Linked DNA regions of Saccharomyces cerevisiae S288C. The main gene of each other region encodes a partner of the protein of the gene in region 3 in a complex. Each region holds a gene or a part of one and is shown on either strand. Other genes may lie near its edges. The genes, in order: SNF4, SIP2 and SNF1. A codon is read from its position in the direction of its gene.

What was found.
Region 1: the proteins of SNF1 (region 3) and SNF4 are in contact, whole or in part, in a crystal structure (PDB 3T4N), measured with the Saccharomyces cerevisiae proteins. Residues at the interface, in NP_010765.3 of Saccharomyces cerevisiae: Ser465 (codon at 4,826), Thr466 (codon at 4,829), Val467 (codon at 4,832), Ser468 (codon at 4,835), Ile469 (codon at 4,838), Leu470 (codon at 4,841), Thr472 (codon at 4,847), Ser473 (codon at 4,850), Leu474 (codon at 4,853), Pro475 (codon at 4,856), Gln476 (codon at 4,859), His478 (codon at 4,865), Arg479 (codon at 4,868), Met482 (codon at 4,877), Ser487 (codon at 4,892), Ala489 (codon at 4,898), Ala490 (codon at 4,901), Ile493 (codon at 4,910), Ser494 (codon at 4,913), Pro495 (codon at 4,916), Leu496 (codon at 4,919), Thr498 (codon at 4,925), Lys499 (codon at 4,928), Lys500 (codon at 4,931), Ser501 (codon at 4,934), Tyr550 (codon at 5,081), Pro563 (codon at 5,120), Gly588 (codon at 5,195), Trp589 (codon at 5,198), Ser608 (codon at 5,255); in NP_011400.1 of Saccharomyces cerevisiae: Leu41 (codon at 5,285), Val43 (codon at 5,279), Leu58 (codon at 5,234), Gln59 (codon at 5,231), Ser61 (codon at 5,225), Trp68 (codon at 5,204), Ser70 (codon at 5,198), Ser73 (codon at 5,189), Phe75 (codon at 5,183), Asp151 (codon at 4,955), Gln152 (codon at 4,952), Asp153 (codon at 4,949), Glu154 (codon at 4,946), Glu155 (codon at 4,943), Thr156 (codon at 4,940), Ile160 (codon at 4,928), Met204 (codon at 4,796), Leu232 (codon at 4,712), Ile233 (codon at 4,709), Asn234 (codon at 4,706), Gly243 (codon at 4,679), Lys246 (codon at 4,670), Leu255 (codon at 4,643), Gly258 (codon at 4,634), Glu259 (codon at 4,631), Leu261 (codon at 4,625), Met262 (codon at 4,622), Arg263 (codon at 4,619), Arg264 (codon at 4,616), Ser265 (codon at 4,613).
Region 2: the proteins of SNF1 (region 3) and SIP2 are in contact, whole or in part, in a crystal structure (PDB 3T4N), measured with the Saccharomyces cerevisiae proteins. Residues at the interface, in NP_010765.3 of Saccharomyces cerevisiae: Lys502 (codon at 4,937), Thr503 (codon at 4,940), Arg504 (codon at 4,943), Trp505 (codon at 4,946), His506 (codon at 4,949), Phe507 (codon at 4,952), Gly508 (codon at 4,955), Ile509 (codon at 4,958), Pro515 (codon at 4,976), Leu516 (codon at 4,979), Met519 (codon at 4,988), Gly520 (codon at 4,991), Tyr523 (codon at 5,000), Ile524 (codon at 5,003), Lys527 (codon at 5,012), Ala531 (codon at 5,024), Glu532 (codon at 5,027), Trp533 (codon at 5,030), Ala534 (codon at 5,033), Lys535 (codon at 5,036), Pro536 (codon at 5,039), Glu538 (codon at 5,045), Glu539 (codon at 5,048), Leu541 (codon at 5,054), Trp542 (codon at 5,057), Lys545 (codon at 5,066), Leu546 (codon at 5,069), Arg547 (codon at 5,072), Gln571 (codon at 5,144), Leu572 (codon at 5,147); in NP_011307.1 of Saccharomyces cerevisiae: Glu304 (codon at 3,454), Tyr305 (codon at 3,451), Thr306 (codon at 3,448), Thr307 (codon at 3,445), Asp308 (codon at 3,442), Ile309 (codon at 3,439), Pro310 (codon at 3,436), Val312 (codon at 3,430), Phe313 (codon at 3,427), Met319 (codon at 3,409), Tyr322 (codon at 3,400), Trp337 (codon at 3,355), Leu338 (codon at 3,352), Thr339 (codon at 3,349), Pro340 (codon at 3,346), Pro341 (codon at 3,343), Gln342 (codon at 3,340), Leu343 (codon at 3,337), Pro344 (codon at 3,334), Gln346 (codon at 3,328), Leu347 (codon at 3,325), Asn349 (codon at 3,319), Leu352 (codon at 3,310), Asn353 (codon at 3,307), Tyr356 (codon at 3,298), Asp360 (codon at 3,286), Val377 (codon at 3,235), Leu378 (codon at 3,232), Asn379 (codon at 3,229), His380 (codon at 3,226).

Annotation. Positions count from the first base shown.
Region 1 is NC_001139.9:290,368-297,437, reverse strand, and holds SNF4 (AMP-activated serine/threonine-protein kinase regulatory subunit SNF4), read right to left. Parts: upstream 5,406-7,070; coding exon 4,437-5,405; downstream 1-4,436. Other genes in the region: SLD3 (Sld3p), read right to left, coding at 1-1,506; YGL114W (uncharacterized protein), read right to left, coding at 1,801-3,978; ubiquitin-protein transferase activating protein CDC20, read right to left, coding at 5,797-7,070. UniProt on the Saccharomyces cerevisiae protein: Adenine nucleotides-binding subunit gamma of AMP-activated protein kinase (AMPK), an energy sensor protein kinase that plays a key role in regulating cellular energy metabolism.
Region 2 is NC_001139.9:94,244-101,700, reverse strand, and holds SIP2 (Sip2p), read right to left. Parts: upstream 4,364-7,457; coding exon 3,116-4,363; downstream 1-3,115. Other genes in the region: chromatin-remodeling protein SPT16, read right to left, coding at 1-2,732; MIG2 (Mig2p), read right to left, coding at 4,695-5,843; Rab family GTPase YPT32, read right to left, coding at 7,241-7,457. UniProt on the Saccharomyces cerevisiae protein: Beta subunit of the SNF1 kinase complex, which is required for transcriptional, metabolic, and developmental adaptations in response to glucose limitation.
Region 3 is NC_001136.10:1,408,940-1,417,058, forward strand, and holds SNF1 (AMP-activated serine/threonine-protein kinase catalytic subunit SNF1), read left to right. Parts: upstream 1-3,433; coding exon 3,434-5,335; downstream 5,336-8,119. Other genes in the region: JIP4 (Jip4p), read right to left, coding at 1-1,155; YDR476C (uncharacterized protein), read right to left, coding at 1,514-2,188; SNM1 (Snm1p), read left to right, coding at 5,636-6,232; PEX29 (Pex29p), read right to left, coding at 6,271-7,935. UniProt on the Saccharomyces cerevisiae protein: Serine/threonine protein kinase essential for release from glucose repression.

The DNA.
Region 1 (7,070 bases), on a different chromosome or scaffold from region 3:
AAATTCATTCAAGTTAGAGTTCGTTCTAGAATTCAAAAGTTCAGGGGTGGGCGAAGCTATAGATTTTCTGCTGAACAAATTAGCGTCCACCCTTCTCAATGCGGGTGAAGATGGGACGGAATTAATGATTGAAGAGCGAGAGGCACGTTGACTCGTGGATAACCTGTTATACGTTTCTACAGTATTAGGTGACGATACATTTGTGCTATCGTTGACCTTTTTCAGGGCTCTCTTTGGTCTCATGCTTGGTCCCTTGAGCTTTTGAATTATAAATTCAACGGCGTGTGGTACCTTTTTGTTGAAATATGGAATAAGAACATAATTTATGAACCCAACCAATGAGGCTTCTTTGCTTTTGTCTAGGATATTTTTTTTATGCTCTTGTATTGTTCCATTTGATGCTTCTATGGCATCTGGGTTGGGCGTTTCACTTGATAGTAGAATGTCCAAGATGCATGCTCTATCTAAGTACAAGTCTAACTGTTCACAATAATCCAAAGATGTTGTTATTCTCTCGATTCCTTTGTCTTTTTCGCTGGTTTTTTTCTTCGATCTTCGACGAACTAATCCCTTTTTTGTCAAATTAAGTGATCTTTTCTTCAATTTTAATTTATACTTTTTCTCAAAATCTCTAAAATTCCAATCTAAATCGTTCAATCCTATTATCTCTAATAGCAATAATATTTGTAGCTTTATTTCGCGGGATTTTAATACAACACATAAATCAGCAATGGTTGAGCTGTTTTTGTTTTCATCTTGGATAACAAATTTTGTGAGACAGTTCTTCCTTTTTTCATCTGCTATGGGACTAGAAAAGGGCTCTAATAAAAGCCTGTTATCATGTCTATCTTTGAATTGTACAATTGAGAGAAGAAATTTTTGCAGCATGGCTTGATAGGCTATTTTGTAACTGTCACTTCCGTACTTGGTTCGGCAGGTATTTTTGAGCCTTACTAAATTTGACTTGACGAAATATGCGAGAGGCGTATGTATGGAAAAAAGAGCATCATAATACTTACTTTCTATGTACTCTTTAGGGTCTGAATAGTAGTCATTAATTTTTGATTCGCCTTTCATATCTGGGGGATTCATATCCAGTTTAAGGTCTTTGTCCTTCTCAAGCTTACACGAGCCCTTGGGTTCTTCTGACCATAAATGAAGAAGCTCTTTAAATTTCAATTCGTCCCATGTTTTTAACGTTTCACGCTTAGCTCTTTCTCTTTCAACTGTCGTTACAACTTCCGTACGCCTTTCTGGTAAGCTGTAACCATTGAAATAATTGTACGGCCACTTAACCCAAAATCCTGGCCCATATTCCTCTAGTAGAAAATACTCTTTTCTTGATTTCATGCAGATGTGTTTCAATTGACGTCGATTCTTCTGTTGCAGTAATTGGAGAATGTTACTGGGCACGTCCTCGGATTTAATAATAAGTGGATGATCTAAGCTCAAGTCAAGGCCTTTTGTTGCTTCTTTTACCGATGCTATGACTTCCCATGTTTCCATTATGAGAGGTCAGATCGTTCCTACCTATACGATCTTAACCCTTCAGCAGTTATGAATGAGGCTTCTGCCTGTTTTAACAGTGCCCATCACTTTTTTTTATTTTTCTTAAATGGACCATGTTGTACACCAAGATAGCCGATATTTCAAGGTCGCGTATAATATAACATTTTGCCTAGGATTTTTGTCACCTAGAAATATATATACAGGGAAATCTAAGACATCGAATTATGTGATGAGTAAATAATTTAAAATTTGTAAACTTTGTAAATTCTTTATTAGTAAAATATTATATACCTAATAGTGAGGGACATTTAAGCAGATGAAGAGCATGTTTATTACGCTAAAGATACCTTCACCTAAGACCAACCCCGAACTGAATACAATCATTTTTGTTTTCGCATTTAAGTCACCCCTATGATTCTTCAACCAAAAATGCGAAGCCCACCCGCCGATGAATCTTGCAATTGTAAAACTGGGAGAATTAAATATACCAACACCGACTGCTACACCAGACGGAATATATAATATCCACCCGTATCCGTAATCTCTATAAGTGTTTCTGATTAATGATAAAACGGCAAATATGACTCCGAGAATCATGGAGCACTCCAAGGCCTTATCAGGGAGCCCTTTACCAGTTACTAGTCTTGCACAATCTATCCACACTACTGCTGTCGGTATCCTGAATTGCTCACTCGGAATTGAATAAACTTTATTGTAGCACAAATACATGAAGCTAGACAAAATAATTGACCAACAGGCCCCTATCAATTGGGCACAGAACTGAGCTCTTGGGGAGGCGCCGAGGAGGTGCCCCGTTTTCAAATCCTGCATTAAATCGCCCGCCTGTTGGGCAGAGGCTTCTGCAATACCTCCCGATACCACGTTCATTAACACTGATCCAGGTCTATCCCTTGGTATGATAAAGGCAAAAATCAATTGAGAGATCTTACCAATGCCGCTCACAGGATTCAGATCGGTCTCTCCAAGTGCTCGAATACCGAGAATAGATAGAAACAACGCAAGTATCAAAGCAGTGATAATAGCATATAGGGGAATTACTTGTATCCCAAACAAATATATTATGGAAACAATGCATATTATCGAGGAGACTAGACATCCACTGATAACGGTGGTATAGCGAACCAAATGCTTCGAATCTACTTCTATTTCGTTATCTCTACTCACTAATCTTACGGTGTCCTGCCTTCCATCAACATATGTATTTCTTCTGCTGCTATTAATGGCGCGTTCCTCCTCCAGTAACATAGATTGAAATGTATCATCGATTATGTTGTTCAGTAAAGCAGCTTTGTCATCTATAAGAATAAATTTCACAATGGACTTCACTGTCACAACAATAAAAGCGACTACACTGTCAGCAACCATTATTGAAAGCGACGACCAAAGAATCCATCCTTGCACTCCCTCCTCCCAGTCGTGGACATCAGCATCTGGTGGTACCCATCTTTTGTATCTCGCCAATGGTGCTAACACACCCCAGCCTAAGAAGCACCCGATAAGCATATACGATACTGTTGGAAGACCCATTATTATCCCTTGGCCTATATACGCAGGCGACGGCTGAAAATTCCAGAGATAATTGTTCGAGAGGTATTTTCCGAAGACTGGAATAGACCGTATTACCGGTACAAAATATGACACCATGGTGTAAAGCGAAGAAACAACAAAAGTTTTCAATAAAATAATAATATTCGCTCTGTAGTTCTCAGAGCCAGTAGAAAGGATAGAACTTCCATCTTGGCTAGTTGCCGTATAATCACCAAGTTCGCTATGAGAAGAGTTCATTAAATAATCCGCCTCCTCTGGATCTCTGTTGGGTTGTAGCACTTCAGGGCATTCATTCAATCTCCTCTGCCTCATTTCCAATAACTCTGACTTAGAAACCTCTTGTAAAATCTCAGTTCCATTTAGCACTGAAATTAAAGTGGCCGTGGCGCTACCACTGGGGAAGGGAAGTTTCTCTCTAACAATTACTTGCTTTCTTAGAGGAACTGCAAAAAAAATACCGAAGAATGCTAGGGCTGTGGACCATATTAACAATTCTCTAAAAGTGAAGGACTGTCCTTGTTCCCTTAATCCACCACTTTCGTCGTTAGTAAGGAACTTCTCGATGGCAGGTATGACGCCGACAAACCCAAAGGCTAATGGGCCTGTTCCGACAGCTACTGCCATACTTTGTACGTATACATTTTCAACGTCACTGAAAGGCCTGTCGTTCGGAAATATTAATGGCCAGATATTTTTAAAGAAAGCACAAGCTAACAATGCCGATGGCAGGGACATCATGGAAACCCAACCGGTTTGCAGGCCAAATTGAAAATTTGATGTTAGCACCAGAGACCCTATAGCGATACCTGCTATGGTTGCTCGGAGTGTTATCTGCTTCAAAGCAGGTTTATTATCCCATGGTACACGCTGTACTTCTTGACTTGGAGTAGATTGAGGCATTTCAAAGTATTTACAGTACCGATTTAGAATCTTTAACGGTTAGTCCTCTATACTGTGACTCTTTTTCTTCCTATCTTGGTGCGAAAATAAAAAAAATGATGCCTTGAGATAGATCTCACGAAAAATACCTTCTACGGCGTTAAATTTACAGCTTTTCTTTAGCTGCCTGTACCTTTTTGATGAACTAATTTATTTTGGTATCAACAGACAATACTACAAAAGGCTTTGCATTATCTTCCTTCACCCTTATATGCAGCATTCCCCCCTCCCAGAGATCGCATCAGTATCATTACTAATCGATTTTTCACTTCGCTTTATAACCGAATTTCCGCCGAATTATACCCAAAATAAGCAAGATGAAAATATATTGGTCAGATGAAGTATGCATGACTGATTAATCATGACTTTATTAGTTGCATTTATTTATAGTATGTACACAAAAATCTCATCGGCTCGTTTCAGTTGCTACCTAGAAGGATATATTTGAGAATATCGCTTAACGTCAAGACACCAACCAACCGTCCGACGTCATCAACTACAAAGAATCTATGCACCCTTGCTTTTCTGATGTTATCCATAATAGTAGATAATTTATCATTCTTAGTGCATGTATAAACACCCTCAAAATCATCACTTCTCCTCATAAGGGCTTCTCCGACGCTCAATGACAGGTCGTTGTAGATGCCTCCTTTTATCAAGCCTAGGACATCGTATGCTTCATATACGTTGATTAAGTAGCCGTTTTCGTCAATAATAGGGACGGAAGAAACCCGACCTTGGGTAAGCATCTGAATGACGTCTATGACCGGAGTGGTCATTTGACAGCTTTTCATGTTATCTTGCGTAATAATGTTCAAGTCCCCAATTGGAATCTTTAGAAAATGTGTTTCCCTGCAATTTAAAGCAACGAACTTCAGAATTCTATATTGCGTAAGAACACTAACGACAATTTCTCTATGTGTCTCTTCATCTTGATCGATCAGTGGTATTCTACCACTTCTTGATTCTAACATCTTAAGACACGCCTCAAATAAGGGTCTAGAAGGATGAATTGAAGCTGTATCTAGTTGATCAACACCGAGAGCACGCTCTATATCTTTTAATCCATCTAACTGTAATTTGTCTACTAATTCGAACTTATCTGGATTGGAGAAGTAATACTGGATGACATTAATAAAATCTGTAGTAGTTAGAAGTCCAGCGAACCTGGAAGTCTTGGAGTCCCATAATGGCGCAGAGACAATGCTATTTTGCAAAAGAACATTCAGTGATTTCTTCACTAACAACGAGGTGTCCAAGACAATTAAACGGTAAGAAACAGGCAACACGTCATAAGATGTTTTCGAGTTCAAAAACTTCCTTATCGATTCTACAGCTAACTGCTGTTCAATAGAAACCTTTTCTTGTGAATCCTGTGTCGGTTTCATTATGTATTTTCCTTTTCGCTTCCTCCTAATGCTAACACAGCAGAAGATGTTTAGCTAACGTTAAAAGATTGATACAATTTTCCAGTTTGCAGCAAAACCACTAGCCCAAGAAGTTCTCAATGTAGATATTATGTTAATAACGATTATTGCATTGCTATGGTTTCTTCCAAGGCCTAAATTTTGTTATTTGCTAAATTTCTCTCCCTCCCAGTTCTCGCGCGTGTGGTGTGTGGGTTCTTTAACATGTGATGAGTTATATCTTGATGTATTCTCAAGGTTCATTACTTTTATTTCTTAAGCTTCTTGAATACATTTATGTTTATACATTATGTATGCGTGTATGGAAATTTCATTATATGCCTTGACATGAACTTTTATTTTTTTTATTTTATCACCTGATCAAATATTGGCTGGTACTAGAGGGCCTCCTTGTATGAATCTCACTCGAATTTTTGGAACGATTCTCCTTATCATTTGTTCGACAACCTTCCTTGCCAATAAGTCCTAGCATACCATCCATCAATCCGTCTTCTCTCGATCTTCCTGTACATCTTGGATCAAATATCTTATAAAATTTTAAGTTTTCATCTCCTCCCACTGTGGCCAATGTGGTTCCGTCAGGGGACAATTGAGAACAGCATATTCTTGCTTCATGAGCATGAACTACTTCTGCAACTTTGAATTTTGTTTCATAATTATAAACAGAGATTGCATTCTCTGGATTACCTCCTGTGGCAACAATCTCTTTATTCATCATACCACCATTGGTTGACGTATGACTTTGGCCCCAATGTAAAGAGCTCACCTGGGATCCGGTATTGATTGAGCCAACTCGTGCACCTGTGATACTGTTCCAAAAATGGATGTGTTTATCTGTTTGTCCGCCTCCAGAGGCTAGAATATTTGGCGAATATGGACACCAGCTTAGTGCTTTTACAGCAGCAGTATGCGTCTTCTTGGAAAATTGAGGCAAGGACGTTCTGGTATCCCAAATCATTACAGTGTTATCATTACCACCAGATGCAAGTTGCAATCCGTCACTTTTATAGCTCAAACCGCAGACTTCGCCTGTGTGCTCTGCCCATGTAGATACAATATGCTGTTTGATCCTGACATCATTGATTTGAATTTCTCCACTACGACTGCCTGTAGCTATCAAAGTATCTAACCAAGACAATGAACCGATACGGACACCTAAGCCTGATCTCATAGTTCTAATTAATGACATGGTCTCAACGTCCCAAATTTCGGTGTTCCCATCCTCTTTACCGATAGAGATATGACAATCATCATCAGACCACGTAACGCTGCATATTGTGGTGTTTTCGAAATCCGTTAACAGGGAAACATCCCCAGTGGTGGCATTCCACAGATATAATGCAGTGTCTAGTGCTATAGCTAAGACATTTTTTTTGGACCAACTTAACAAGTTTAAATAAAAGTCGTCTTGGAAACCAGGTGCATCAAGAATTCTTTCCGGATTGGTATTGATTTTCCTTAATTTAATTAAATCAGGAATTTTTTGTTCCTGCTGATAACTATAATGTGTTCTTTTCTTCATGATATAGCTTTTTTGTCTCAAGGAAGAGCATTTTGGTGGTTCCGGCATGTATTGTAGTATTCTTTTATTCATATCTAACCCACACGCTTCAGCTACATTTTGTT
Region 2 (7,457 bases), on a different chromosome or scaffold from region 3:
TTCAAGAAATCTAAAGATTCGATCGGAACTGTATTGATATGAGTGACGGGTTTATTGAAATCTTTATAAACAAAAACCATGTCGAAGTTTTTCAAACCAAATTGAACTCTTTCTAAAATACAGATTTCGACTTCCTCTAGGTTAATCACCAAAAATGGTGGTTCAATCAATTGAACTAAACAATCTGTAGTTGGCATACAGAAAACTGCCGATCTATTTGGGACACCTTGGAAGCCCAAATCTCTAAATGTATTCTCCACCGTCAATAAACCGTTTGATGCTTCTGCGATTGCGTCTGCAAAATACTTAAATTCTTTATCAAGCGCAGCTCGTTTTCTTCTTTCTTCTTGTTCTTGTTCCAGCTCATCCTCATCACCATATCTTCTGAATCTGGATTGACCTCGTCTTCCACCTCCAGTTTCATCGACGGACATATCAGAAGCTTCACGATAGAATTGGACGTCTTGTATTTTCTTTTTACCCATTAAAATTGGATTCTTCAAATGAATATGAATGACGACAATTAATTCACCTTTACAAGATTGAAAAATTAGATTCTTAATGTTTGAGAATAATATGTCTATTCTGCTATCAGTCCTTAGTGGGGATTGAAATCTGATACCATTTTCATGGATAAAGACAGTACTAGGTACACGTTTTGTATCTGGATTTGGCCTCACAAAAATTTGATCCAGTCTTTTCGTTCTTCCAGTTTTATTTTCAATCAATTTGTCCTGTTGAACAACATCAGCAAGCGCCTTACGTTCTTGCTCTCTCTTTGTGGCTTCTTTTTTCAAATCTGCAATTTGTTTAAAGGTTTCACTCATGCGGTCACCATCTTTGGATCTTAGTGTAATCGAACGTACAAATTGATTGTCTGCTGATTCCTCATACGGCAATTCCTCCACTTTTTTAGAAATACCACCAGAAGATCCCGGTGAATTAAAGTTCAAACGTAAATACGTATATTCGCCTTCTTCGTTTTTAGAACCATTCTTATATGAATTTATATGAAATGGGACTGGCCTACCGTAAATGGGTAGAATAATTGTTTGGCTTTTCCAGTCGACATGAATTCTTAGATCACGAATATTGGTTGGTAGTTGTGAATCCCGAACATAAGATTCATATTTTTTGAAGTATTGACGAGGTTCACTATCTGGGCCATTGGCATCAGCAGCACTAAATCTGAGTAATCCATTCTTTTCCAATTTTTCGTGTAGCTTCTTTTGGTTTTCTTTACGAATTTGCTCCTTTTGAGCGTCTTCGGCACCACCACGGGCTTCGCCACGTAACTTTGTTCTTAAAATTTTGGAATTTCTGTCTGGTTTACTAGGGACTTTGGTGGCAGGTGAAGATTTCTTTTTATTATTGTCTTCTTCTTCATTATTGAAATAAAATGATATCTGGGATTTGGCTTTGGTGTAATTTGTTAAGAAGCGTGGAGGCTCTGTTTCATCGAGAGGAATTTGAACCGTATCAGCTAATTGTAAAGCGTAGTTGTTAGCACTTTGAGAATCTTTCAGATTATTGAAACCAAACGAAATATTAAAGCAGTCACCGCGTTGGATTTTACGGTAATCATTCTTAACATTTAATATAAAGTTAGAATCTCTAAATTCGAGACCAATCAATGAACCAATGTTTTTGGTGAAATTGGGCACTAGTTCAGGTTTGGTTTTTTCGATGTATTCTATTACTGATTCATAAACTTCTTTTGGTGTACGGCCGGGCTTCAGAATGTTAGTTACAATTTCTTTTTGCAAAGTTAATAGAAAATCGTAGTTGTTGGCCATTTCTTCAGATGGATCGATCAAAAAGGTCCTAGTAATATTAGAACAATAATTATTGTAACGAATACCACATGAAGCTAAAATACAACCGTTGCCGTACAACTGATCATTGGTAGAACGGGCAGAAACCCTAAGATCAAACTTTTTCCCGGACTGAATGATTGGAGAATAGGTCCAATCCAATAAATCAAAGTTGAATTTGTAGTTTGGTGGGCATAATGCGCTTAAATCGGGACTCAATTGCTTCAAAAATTTCACATCATCAATTTTATTTTCAATTTTGTCTGATAACTTGGCATTGGTGATTTTCAACTCCTCGTCAACTGCCCGAACCATTTCATTGGATAAAAGGTCCATAAATTTGTCCGACCCCTTACTTGAAACGGACAGGAAGGCTTGTTCGTTAACATCCTTCACTTCCCAAACTTTAGAAAGACCCAGCGAAATATCAATGACATTGAATTCGTTCTCCTTCACAGCCGCTTCCCATACTGGGTTCCACTCAGTCATAAATTTACCTTGGTAAGAGTCCTTTTCAGGGATACCCACTGTTTTACCAGCGCTATTGATTAAGGCAATAACGTCATCAAATAACTTTTTATTGAGTTCTGGTTCTTTATTGTTTCTTTGCCACAATTCCAGCGTAATTTTGCTTTCAGGGTCTTTAAATAGATCAATTGCCTTTTGTAAATGCTTGGCCTTGGCAGAACTAGTAATTATAATAACCTTTCCGGGAACTAATGCAATCAAAGTAGCGGGAAATTCGTAACTTAGCAACCAATTATGCAATATGGTCGTCTTCTGGTACGGGTTTTCAGCGTTGGACGAACCTAAAACAAACAGCAGCGAATTTGGAGAACCTTCAAACTCATTGTACTTGGAATACAACAATTCAATCCTTTTCTTAAATACGTCAAAATCAATATTCAGCTCTTCCATATTCACTTAAATACACGAAGCCAGTTCACGAAAGGTGCAATATCAGAAAGGAGTAAAGTTGGAATAGCTGAACTTTTTACCTTTTAGTCCCGTGACTCTCTTAGCTACTTTTATTCCTCTTCTCACCAATATTAAGATTTCAATATTCTTTCGTTAGAAAAGTGGCGATTCTCATTTTCCGAAAAAAAAAAAGATCACGCGACTTCCGGGTATTAGTATCGTGGTTTGTGATAACAATAAGCATTGAGAGTACTGAGCCCATTAGTAAATCATTATGTTATATGCTTCTATATCTCTGCTTACACTAAATTGGAAATAGAAATTAGTGTGCCATAGCTGCCAAAAATATATACAATACGCCTTTAAAAAGTAGGAATCCCGGATTACGAGGACTCTATGGGCGTATAAAGAATCTGGGTGACATATTTCTGTTTATATCGAACGATGGAGGCTACACAAAGTGTATTGTGCTTAATGCTACTAGTAACCAAGTGGTTAAGCACCACATGGTTCGGAATGGGCAGAGCGCCTGAGTTGTTCTCGTTGAACTGGTCTTGCGTGGCATAGTATTTATTCAAGATAACATTCTCCAACTGAGGAGGTAATTGGGGTGGTGTCAGCCATGACGTATCAGTATTGCTTTGCTGACGATCCAAGGTATAATAGTATCGTTCCATGACAGACGGGTCAGTAAACACGGCGGGAATGTCTGTTGTATATTCCAACGGAGGTCTGGGTGACAGATCTTCATGAAACCTTGTATATCCGTCACCAAAATCGTCTGGATCCTTACCAATTTGTAGAGCAATTGAGGATCGATCGCTGGTGGGAGGTCGCATGGAATCTGCTTCCTTGGACCTTATCTTTTCGTTAGTTGGGTTTTTTTCTGGTTGCCTGACTTCTATGTAATTGACGAAGTTTCCCATCTGATCAGTTGCTGTGGGCAGGAAATCACTAACTCTAAGCTCATTATCCACTATAAATCTGAATCTATGTGTGCCTGGAAGCAGCCTTAGCTTCACATGAAATGAGCCATTATTGTCAGAATCAGGTATCAAACCGATCATTTTCCTCCATTTGGTGAATGAGCCTGTCACGTAAACTTTTGAACCACCTTGCTGCCACCTTATCTCCACGGGAACCATTAATGAGCTCTTGATTTCACTTGGACCTCCCGAAGCTTCTTTGGCACGTATTTGCTGTTGTCCCTCCTCTCTGGGCGAAGAATGGCCTGAGCGATCATCATCAGGACTGGCATCTTGCTTGGGCTCTGTCGTCTGGGCAATAATATCTCCCTCTTCATCATCGCTAGTAGACGAAGACCCAGAGTCAGTGTCCACAGCAGTTTCCATAACAGATAGCTTTGGCATAGTGGGCTCGTCCTCATCACGCAGCAATAACGTCGATTTTTTTTTGGTAATAGATCCCTCCCTTGAAGGCTGCCCCGCGTCTTGGGAATCTGAACATTTATTTAAGCTCAGTTCAGTAACTTTCTTGCTCACAGCATCCATTTCTTGCGGTTCGCAGCCTTGAGCATTGCTGGGTTTTTCTCTAACGTCACTCATGATAGGTGCACGACACTTTTTTGTTGTTTGCTTTTTTTGGGCTGGATGACTTGTCGTAGTACCCATAGAAACTTCACTGCTCTCAGTACCCTTCCAAAAGCACAATTATTTCAGATACTTTTCATTTCCCAGGAATCTTGTGGTGTATTTATCCTTTCCCTAAAAGATTTTGACGATCCGAAAACGCAAGGTAAATCTTTACTCGGTCCAAGGGAGCAATATAAAAGACCATGCCGGCCGCAATTCGTATAGGTAAACGTGCTATTCATGACGATGCTAGTTAGTGATATGCATGGTTATCTATTTAATCTATCTATGTAAGTACGCGTTATATGCTAAGTTGTTTCATGACAGTTCGTTAGAGGAAAAATGGTGAGATAAAAAGGGGCCGTAAAGGTTAAACTCTTTTGGGACCGTTGAAAACATCAATTTGTTTCAGTAGGTTACGTACAGGCGGCAATTTTACGCCTGACAATTTCTTTCGGCTTTTGCTAGATTCATGATCTAGCGACTCGTGCTCCTCCTCATTACTACCACTGCTGCTGTTATTGGTATCTTCTTCTTGTTCTTCAGGAATTTCGAATTTTGCTCTTTCCCTCCTAGTCTTGGTGGTGTATCTATTGGAATCTAAATAGACGGACTCAAGTTCTTTGGCCACGGCGAGCTGAGAAGGAGCATTGCTGAAAGGCAAAGAGATAGCGCTGCTGGATGCAGAGGTATGACTGGAATCACTTGGTGAGGATGGTGATTCTATAGTGGTGGAAGGGGCACTTACAGGCGTTCTTTTTTGTAAGGTAGATAATGCAGATGCAAGAGAATGTGCAAAAGTTTTCTGCTGCTTGGCAACAGAAGGGCTGGCAGTTTGATGCTGATACTGCTGTGGGATATGTTGCTGGTGTAAATATCCATCATTCGGAGAGTTTGGCACAGAGCGTGGAGTGTTTACGCGAACATTCATGTTCGAGAAGATAGATGAAACATCACTATTTGACTGTATGGAGCCAATAGAGCTCTGGAAAGAGGTGAATGATTGCGATGGAACTGGAGTGTATGTAGAAATTGGCATAGGAGAAGTTGCAGGCTGGAAAGATGCAGCGGAGGCATGAATGGGGGCTGGTTGGGCCATGATTGGTATCACCATTGGGTGCACCGCATTGGGAGCGTGTATAATGTTACCTCCATTTACTGCCTGAACATTTATGGCCATATTTGCTGGTAGGACTTGCGGTATTGGTTGGTGTATCATCACGCCCGATGCAATGGTAGGAATTCCGCTTACTGTCAAAAACTCCTGTTTCTGTACGCTAGCTTTCTTCAATCTCCTTTGAGATTGCCCTGTATGCGTTCTCATGTGCCTTTTCAGTTCATCGCTTCTACTGAAACTTTTCCCACAACCAGGAAATGCGCAATGATGAGGTTTTTCCCCAGTGTGTGTTCTCAAGTGTCTCTTTTTATGTTCTAACCGATGGAAACCACGGTGACAGGTATCACATCTAAAAGGTCTGTTTTCGTTATCTACTGGGAAATTCGTTTGCTTTTTAGGCATTCTCTTTTTTTATTTTTATTTTGTTTGTTCTCGAGGTCAATAGTCTTAGCGTGAGTTAAAACTTAATTGAGAGTTAAGATAAGCTACACAATGGTAATAGTACAAGGACAAGCACACAATTTGACAGGCAGATCGTAAGTTACTACGTATTATAGACGGGTTTCCCAATCGCTTATATACCAGAAACGCTTTTGACCGGGAATGATTTTCGGAAAAACTTTCTCGCACGGATTATTTACCGTATCCTCGTACGAGATTTTTCTCAGCGGCATATAATTTAGAGTTATTACTTCAGTTTTGCGGGTGCTCCGTGGATGTCTCCGCGGATAAATTTTCGGATGAGCCAAAAAAGTGGAGGCGGGGTTTCTTATCCCGGCTTTTTTTCTTCTTCGTATGAGCCTATCAATCATTAACTGATGGTAATACGCTAACTTCAATGGGGAAAGGGGAGAGCTAGTTGACGCAAGCTCCGCAGGGGCGATAGGGCAACTACAGCACATCGCCACAGCTTATTAATTCGCACCGTGGAGATGATGGTCGCTCGTAAATCAGCTCAGTGAAGATTATCGTTTGCCATCGTGCTTCTCATATTACATATTCAAACAAACTACCACAGAACTATCATTGGGGTAGGTATAGCTCAAATTCAACAAGGCCTGCCTTAAGGGCCATAAACTATTTTATACTTTCTTTGTTTTTACAAGTGGGGGAAAGAAAGAGCGACAACCGATTTTTCTAACCTTCTTGGAACCGAGAACGGTAATTTCCGTAAATAAAACGCAATTACTGTATCGAGCGAGTTTGTTTTCCGAAACACGCTCTAATGTAGATTCGAAAAAATAATGATATCAAAGATGAGTAGGCCAATATGAAAAAATAACAAAAAACTTAGCAACAGAAATTGAATCATTGTCGTACCCCATCCTTGCGTACGTAAACAGCCTTCCTTCTCCTGCCTACCCCTCACGTCGTCTCGGATAAACCTTCAAAACCCGCAATTTCGGAAAAACTTCCAATATAAACCATGACGAAATTTGTATCCGGGAAGGTACGTGAAATACACAGAGCGAACGTTTATAAAACCGTCTAATTCTGCTCATGCGTGCGGAAAAAAACATACACGTGTGTTTTTAGACTGCACAACAACAGAATATTTAAATCGTAAAAAAAAAATCATATTCTTATCTTCGGCTATTGCAAAATGCAGGCGTCAGGAAAGGTCTATTTAGAAAATGTATGTACGTTAATACATTTTTTCTTGCGTGCAACGAAGGTTAGTAATAAATAACTTGGGAAGGTATATGTAATTGATTATATTTATAAAAGCATTATTAACGGGGGTTATATGTAGACAGAATATGCATGAAACCATGCGACCTTAGTAGGGCACAAAATTTTTAACAACAGTTGCTGGATTTTTTCTTCTTGTCTTCCTTTGGTGCCGGTGTTAAGCTGATGGTAGGACCCTTTGGAGCGCCATTAGAGCCCATGTTGTTGGTACCCGACCCGCTTAAGTCTACTTGATGTTTGCTTACCATTTGGAAGATGGCTACGATCAGTTCTCTAAATGCTTTATCTACATTATCACTATTTAAAGCACTTGTCTCAGTAAAT
Region 3 (8,119 bases):
GTTCTGCGTATAACCAGATGTCCACTCGATAAAATTTTGGTGCTTTAATTTGTTGTCAGATTCCTCAGGCCCCAGAGAAAGTGCCCTTCTTGTACATATGGATCGTGATCTCGATCTGGATCGTGATCTTCTTGCTGAGCTAACACTCCTGCTATCATCCATCATCATTAGCATTCTTTTTCGCTCACTCATCGAATCATTGTCTTCGAAATTATTCTTAGTCAGGCGGGGCAGGTTTGCCAACACAACAATGTGGTCTGTATTTTGAATCAAAGTTCGTAGCGCCCAATCTAGTGCTACCCAAGTATGTTTCCTGCCGCTGATGTGGCACAATATCGTTCGAGGAGTGTTCGGGAACCCAACCTTTTCGCTCAAAACACGCTCTTTCCGCTTTTGAGACTTAGTCAAAGGCGTAAAGCCGTCTTCTATGGGAGGATTGAATTTTATTGTGGGAGTAGCGCCCTCAGACGACTTTTTTTTGTTTGGAGGAAACAGTATTGTTGGGTAATTGAAGAAATCGCGCTTTTGTTCTAATCGATGATCTATCTGATTTTTCTTCTTGATCCATAGTTGTCTCCAATTGGCATACGCCCTACTAATCACAAGAGCGTCATTGATATCGGTGGGTGTAGTAGGATAGTCTTCCCTTACAATTTTACCATTTTCAGAAATCTTAAACATCTTACCTATTTTGATGTTTCTTTTAGAGGCAGGAGGTGGAGAAGAATACCTGCCGGGACTAGCACTGCCCTCTCGCCTACTCGAATAGCTATTCCCGGAGAAGTAGTCGGCATTGTTGTCCGAGGTAAAGCCACTTTCGTCGTCATAATATTCCTCCATTGTATAATCTGCAGAGATCTGCACGCCAGGAAATTCTCTTTTCTCTTCATCTAAGGGCGAAGATACCCTTGATCTGGGAACTGTGTTGAAAGATACGCATGGTAGGTACTTTTCGTTGCTGCCTTTCCCCTTCTTTTTGACGGAACTGCTCGAGTCCAATATCGAGGCTAGACTGCGCCTGTCATCATTGTTGGACTTGTCCTCGTCCTGCTTAGCGAGTATGTCCACCGTATCCTCCAGCTGGTCCTGCCTGACATACAGCTTAACATATTTATAAGAATTTCTCAACGCCTCATCTTGATCTCGTACCACCATTTCCCCCTATGTTTTAGTATCTTCTGTTCCTTGTACTTTAAAGATTCCTTCCCTTAAAAATAGAAGAAAGCTTCTATTTGTTGATATTGCTTTCGAATAGTGAGTGGACTCAAGAGAAGAAAAAAACCTTTACAAAAATTATATGCAAAATATGTTGGAAAAGACAAAAGGGTTTTAAGTTGTGTTTACTAAAAAGTATATAGATAATTCTAGAGGTTATTGAGACATGCAGAATGCGTGTGCCACACCACCGCAGGTGGGTCATTCGGAAATTGTTCCTGTTGCTGCAGCGTCTGCTGCACTTTTCGCTAGAACTTTTCCAGTCGGATAGGGAGACAAAATGAAAAAAGGCCTCGGACTAATTAACTGACCCTTCGCCAAGAGTGCGAGCCTTAGTATCTAGACGTCTCGCAGGACCGTAACCTTCGAGGAGACCTAGAAGAAGCCACTCGGGCACGAACTCGCCAGGAACACGGTAGTACTTGAGCCTAGGGACGACGAAAATGAGCGTCTCGAGGGCGTGAGTCAGGAACTCGGCAACAATGATGAGTCGCAGCACAAGATCACTATCCAGCCACGCCTCTAAGGTGGAGCCCACAGGATTAGGGACCAGGAAAAAGATAGCGTGCAGTGCAGGACGATAGAGGTAGCACAATGGCGGTAGCGCCACGCCTACCAGGATCAACAAGTCTACTAGAGTGCAGGGGTACTCAACAGTGTCGATCTGGATGAGCGACAGCTTCCTCTTCTCCGCAGCGATGCGGAACATCTTGTTGAAGATTTGCTTGATTCCGGTAGCAGTGCGGGTATCGTTGCCCGTGTCATTGTCAATGAAGTAGATAATCTTCTCGATGTTCTGACCCGTTTCTGTGTGAAGGAACTTGAGCGTAAACGTGGACGTCTGCGTGTCGATCTCTGTCAGTCTGACATGCTTGACGGCCTTGGTAATGGGAACGTGGCCAAAAACGGCGAGACAATCCTCCAGCCCCAACTTGTGCGTATCGTTGATGCTTACAATTAACGAATCCCACATACTTGTGTATACCCGTATACTTGCTTGAGTTGATAGAACGCACGCTCTCGCCGATATAAGCCTCCACTCTTTATATATACCATATCCAAATAGGTGTGCACTTTGTGGCAAGGAGTAATTATAAACGAACAGAATATCCCGACCACATGGCAAGACCAAGAAAGTTCAAGACTGCGCAAGAAACGGCAGAACAGAAGCTGCTCACTAACTTCAACCTTGTAACTGAATTCGTAGGGTTAAAACTCCACCACGTTTGTAGCGGAGCAATGTCGCCTTTAAGAAGTCGCTAGCTATCTCTTTCGCCTCCGTATAGCAATCATTGTCTAATGCAATCCGCCATCGTTATGTCCGCGGCTTTTGTCTGGAGGGCAAATCACGATAGGAAGAGGCATCTTCTGTAGTAAAGGCGTCTGTAGTAAAACCTTTTCTTGGAAGCCATAACAAATCATGGCCACCAATGCCTGGCAAAAAAGGGTGGCATTGAAGGGAAATTTCAAAGATTTTTTTAATAGAGGCCCTAGGAAAAAACATGTCCGTACGTTTAGATACGGTTATAAACTGTACAATCATTTGCTATCAAATGCTGAACCTTCCCCAAGGGACTAAAAGCTGGAAATGGCAGTGTGCTACTATTTCTTTTAGTCGTATATTTAACTCTCGATCTTGCAGGCTATGATGTCCCATATGATGTCCCACATGACGCAAGTAACTTCAAAAAAAGAGGAATTGCGTGGCGGCGTGGATGCAAAAGGATGGGCGTGATGATGGGACTCGAGACCTGGTTTTACTCAATGTTAGTCATATGTATATAGTCCTTATAGGCCCATATTAGAAAGTACATGTCATAGTTACCCTCTGCAGTTTTTCTCGTAGCGGAAGGGGATGGAAATTTTTAACGTAAAAGAAAGTTGGTAAGAGTATGGCACATCAACAGGTAGCGTTATAGGGGCCAAGACATAGCTTTGGGCTTAGTACTGTAGGCTTGTTACCAGAACTTTCATTTATCGAAATATTCTTTTTTCACATTTCCTCTTACTGCGCATTCGTGTCCAAACAGTCATTCAGGAAGTATAACGATAAACAATAGATTGAAGCCTGAAAAAAAAAAAAAAAGCACGACAATAGAAATTGTTTCAGTGTCATTGGCTTTTGATAATATATAGAGGCTGTTTCAATAATCATAGCGAAAGAAATAGAAGTTTTTTTTTGTAACAAGTTTTGCTACACTCCCTTAATAAAGTCAACATGAGCAGTAACAACAACACAAACACAGCACCTGCCAATGCAAATTCTAGCCACCACCACCACCATCACCACCATCACCACCACCATCACGGTCATGGCGGAAGCAACTCGACGCTAAACAATCCCAAGTCGTCCTTAGCGGATGGTGCACATATCGGGAACTACCAAATCGTCAAAACGCTGGGAGAGGGGTCCTTTGGTAAAGTTAAATTGGCATATCATACCACTACGGGCCAAAAAGTTGCTCTAAAAATCATTAATAAGAAGGTTTTGGCAAAGAGTGATATGCAGGGCAGAATTGAAAGAGAAATATCTTATCTGAGACTCTTAAGACACCCCCACATCATCAAACTGTATGATGTTATCAAATCCAAAGATGAAATCATTATGGTTATAGAGTACGCCGGGAACGAATTGTTTGACTATATTGTTCAGAGAGACAAAATGAGCGAGCAAGAGGCAAGAAGATTTTTCCAGCAGATCATCAGTGCCGTCGAGTACTGCCATAGGCACAAAATTGTCCATAGAGATCTGAAGCCTGAAAACTTACTACTAGATGAGCATCTGAATGTAAAGATTGCCGATTTTGGTTTGTCAAACATCATGACTGATGGTAATTTCTTAAAGACTTCTTGTGGTTCTCCCAATTATGCGGCTCCTGAAGTTATCAGCGGTAAGCTGTACGCAGGCCCAGAAGTGGACGTGTGGTCATGTGGGGTTATCCTTTATGTTATGCTTTGTCGTCGTCTACCGTTTGACGATGAAAGCATCCCAGTGCTTTTCAAGAATATCAGCAACGGTGTTTACACCTTGCCTAAATTTTTATCTCCTGGAGCTGCTGGGCTAATCAAAAGAATGTTAATCGTTAATCCATTGAACAGAATAAGCATTCATGAAATTATGCAAGACGATTGGTTCAAAGTTGACCTGCCAGAATATCTACTTCCACCAGATTTGAAACCACACCCAGAAGAAGAGAATGAAAATAATGACTCAAAAAAGGATGGCAGCAGCCCAGATAACGATGAAATTGATGACAACCTTGTCAATATTTTATCATCGACCATGGGTTACGAAAAAGACGAGATTTATGAGTCCTTAGAATCATCAGAAGACACTCCTGCATTCAACGAAATTAGGGACGCGTACATGTTGATTAAGGAGAATAAATCTTTGATCAAGGATATGAAGGCAAACAAAAGCGTCAGTGATGAACTGGATACCTTTCTGTCCCAGTCACCTCCAACTTTTCAACAACAAAGCAAATCCCATCAAAAGAGTCAAGTAGATCATGAAACTGCCAAGCAACACGCAAGAAGGATGGCAAGTGCTATCACTCAACAAAGGACATATCACCAATCACCCTTCATGGATCAGTATAAAGAAGAAGACTCTACAGTTTCCATTTTGCCTACATCTTTACCTCAGATCCACAGAGCTAATATGTTAGCACAAGGTTCGCCAGCTGCCTCTAAAATATCTCCTCTTGTAACGAAAAAATCTAAAACGAGATGGCATTTTGGTATACGATCTCGCTCATATCCATTAGACGTTATGGGTGAAATTTATATTGCCTTGAAGAATTTGGGTGCCGAATGGGCCAAGCCATCTGAAGAGGATTTATGGACTATCAAATTAAGGTGGAAATATGATATTGGAAACAAGACAAACACTAATGAAAAAATACCTGATTTAATGAAAATGGTAATTCAATTATTTCAAATTGAAACCAATAATTATTTGGTGGATTTCAAATTTGACGGCTGGGAAAGTAGTTATGGAGATGATACTACTGTTTCTAATATTTCTGAAGATGAAATGAGTACTTTTTCAGCCTACCCATTTTTACATTTAACAACAAAACTAATTATGGAATTAGCCGTTAACAGTCAAAGCAATTGATGGTGGAACGTAAAAGAATGATATGGAAGTTCCCTTTTTTTTATGTATCGTAACGTATTTGCAACATCTTTATAATATCCCTTTGTATAAAGTAAACAATCTTGATTAAATAAACCTGAACATAATTTATTGATGTGAATGTTCTTTTATTGGCATTATTTCTTCGGATGAAAAGCAAATTTCACGCTCTATGAGAAAAATTGAAAACGCTATTCTATGTGAAAATAGAGATGAGTACTACTAGTGGCTACAATAAAAATACTGAACCTTTGACAATCGTACAACAAAAGGATCCCAAAAATGAATAAAGACCAGGCAGAAAAATATCAAGAACGGAGTCTGCGACAAAAATACAACCTACTACATGTACTGCCAACACTGAATTCCAGAGCGTTATCGGGACTATACTATAAAAATTTTCATAATTCTGTGAAGCGATATCAAATCATGCTGCCAGAACAACTGAAAAGTGGGAAATTTTGCTCCCATTGCGGGTGTGTTTACGTTCCTAATTTTAACGCAAGTCTTCAGTTAACGACTAATACCGAGCAAGGTGACTCCGACGAACTTGGCGGCGAGAGTATGGAAGGACCAAAAAAATGTATCCAGGTTAATTGCTTGAATTGTGAAAAGTCTAAATTGTTTGAGTGGAAATCTGAGTTCGTTGTTCCAACATTTGGACAAGATGTTAGTCCGATGATCAATAGTACCAGCAGCGGGAAGGTTTCGTACGCGGTAAAGAAGCCCCAAAAGAGTAAAACTAGTACTGGTAAGGAGAGATCCAAGAAGAGAAAGTTGAACTCACTTACAAACCTTTTATCGAAAAGAAATCAAGAGAAAAAAATGGAAAAGAAGAAAAGTTCGTCACTGTCATTAGAAAGTTTTATGAAAAGTTGACTGTATCATCAGTGAACATATAGTATAACAAATCAAGTTTATATAGTTGAATTGAGAGTGTCTGTTAGCTCTTCGATTGACGGATAAGATGCATCCGCGTCGATATTGTTGAGATTAGGAATAGTACCGTTTATACTTTCCTCATCAGCGCGGTCATCATCACTACTGTGAGTTAGACCGCCACTCATTGAACCCTTCGTCACGCCATGTACGCCTTGCCTATATGTTTCTTCCCTCAATGGATTAACTACTTCCTCCTCACCAAGGTTTGAAGAAATACCAGAATCCAGTTTTTTCCGCACGCAACTGTTGGTCCACATTCGCCTTCTATATGAGCCCCTTTGTCCATCAAGATTGAGGTCATAGACCCATTTTGTTTCTGAATCTATCTCGACATACTGAATAAATTCGTCCTCTACCCATTCTTTTGGATCCAAATCAAGCACCCAATGAGAATTGGCTTCCCATTCCCAATCCTTAGGTGGCTCAATTTCTTCTAATGACTTCACTGAATTTTCCTCAATACGCCTCTGGTATATTCTCAAACTAGAGAAAAGAGAATAATCGTCATCAGAGAATCCAACTGGGCGCCATTCTTTGTATTCAGGAAGATACTTTTGGATCTCAAAGATCATAACAAGTCGGTGCTCCCTAGCCTCAATGAGTTTCAAATGCTGCAAAATCTTAGATTCCAGATTAGTACTTATAGTCAAAGTTTTTAATCTTGTCTCCTCCGAATTCAATTTAGTCAACAAATATTCACGATTGGACGGATGCGAGGCAATAAAAAAACCCCAACCTAGCAGTATCAGTACGGGTCTCATTGGAATGAGCTTGATAAATTTATCCATGTACAGAAAATTTAATGTTGCTATTATTAACAATACAATAAAATAAAACGACGAAATAGCCTCGTTGGTGAAGAATGCAAACTTTTGTAATATGAGTAAAGTAAAATCGTAGAATTTAACATATAGCAGCATATGGTTTTGTAAATCCGTGAGGTTTAAGACAAATTCTTGGCTCAGTTCAGGGACTGGTTTAGGAACCTCAGGTCTTCGCAAAGGTGGGCCTTGTGCTGGTGTTTGATTATTATCTAGATAGCTTGTAGGGTTTGGCTTATGAATGTAAAGGTATTGCGGGACCATTACGCAGAATAACAAATAGAATATAGGGAGCGAAGAAAGCATTTGAAAAGGTTTCAATATAATGAGCGTGTATAAGAACATGATAGATACTGTATACGCTGGGTTAGTCCAGTTTAATATCTTTATTAATTCATCCATAATCATGAATGGTACCCCTAGTCTCGAGTTCATCTGTATAAAATTCCTACTCGTGATCTGCACAGACAGCTTAGGCCTTTCTTTACCAGCAACCATACGATGGTGAATTGTATCAACAGCCGTTTTGGAAGATGGTGGTAATGCCATTTTGATTATCTTCTCTACCAGGGTATCTGCCATCATCTTTTGGATGTTTGATGTCGAGGGAAAACCGCCACCACTAGTTGGCTGTCCACTGGAAGATGGCAGACTACCACGTGTAGGATCACTAGTTCTAGAACCACTAGATATGCTCTCTTTCTTTGCCTGACTTTTTCCATCTATGCCATTTTGCACTTTCTTCCCCTTGAGAGTTGATCTAGTTGGAGTACCAGCATTATAGGTGTCATTCCAGAAAAAATTTGTCACCGAGTCCATCTAGACGTATATACAGTAGGAGACTGAAATTTTGCTACGTATACAGGTGAGTATATTCATGCGGCCTGATCAGTAATTAAAAATACACACTATTCCTCGTTGTTATTTCTTAAAATTAGTTCAAGAAGAAGGGGTAACCCCTAAGCTTCTTAAGTTCACCACAAAAGTATTACTGGATAGTGAA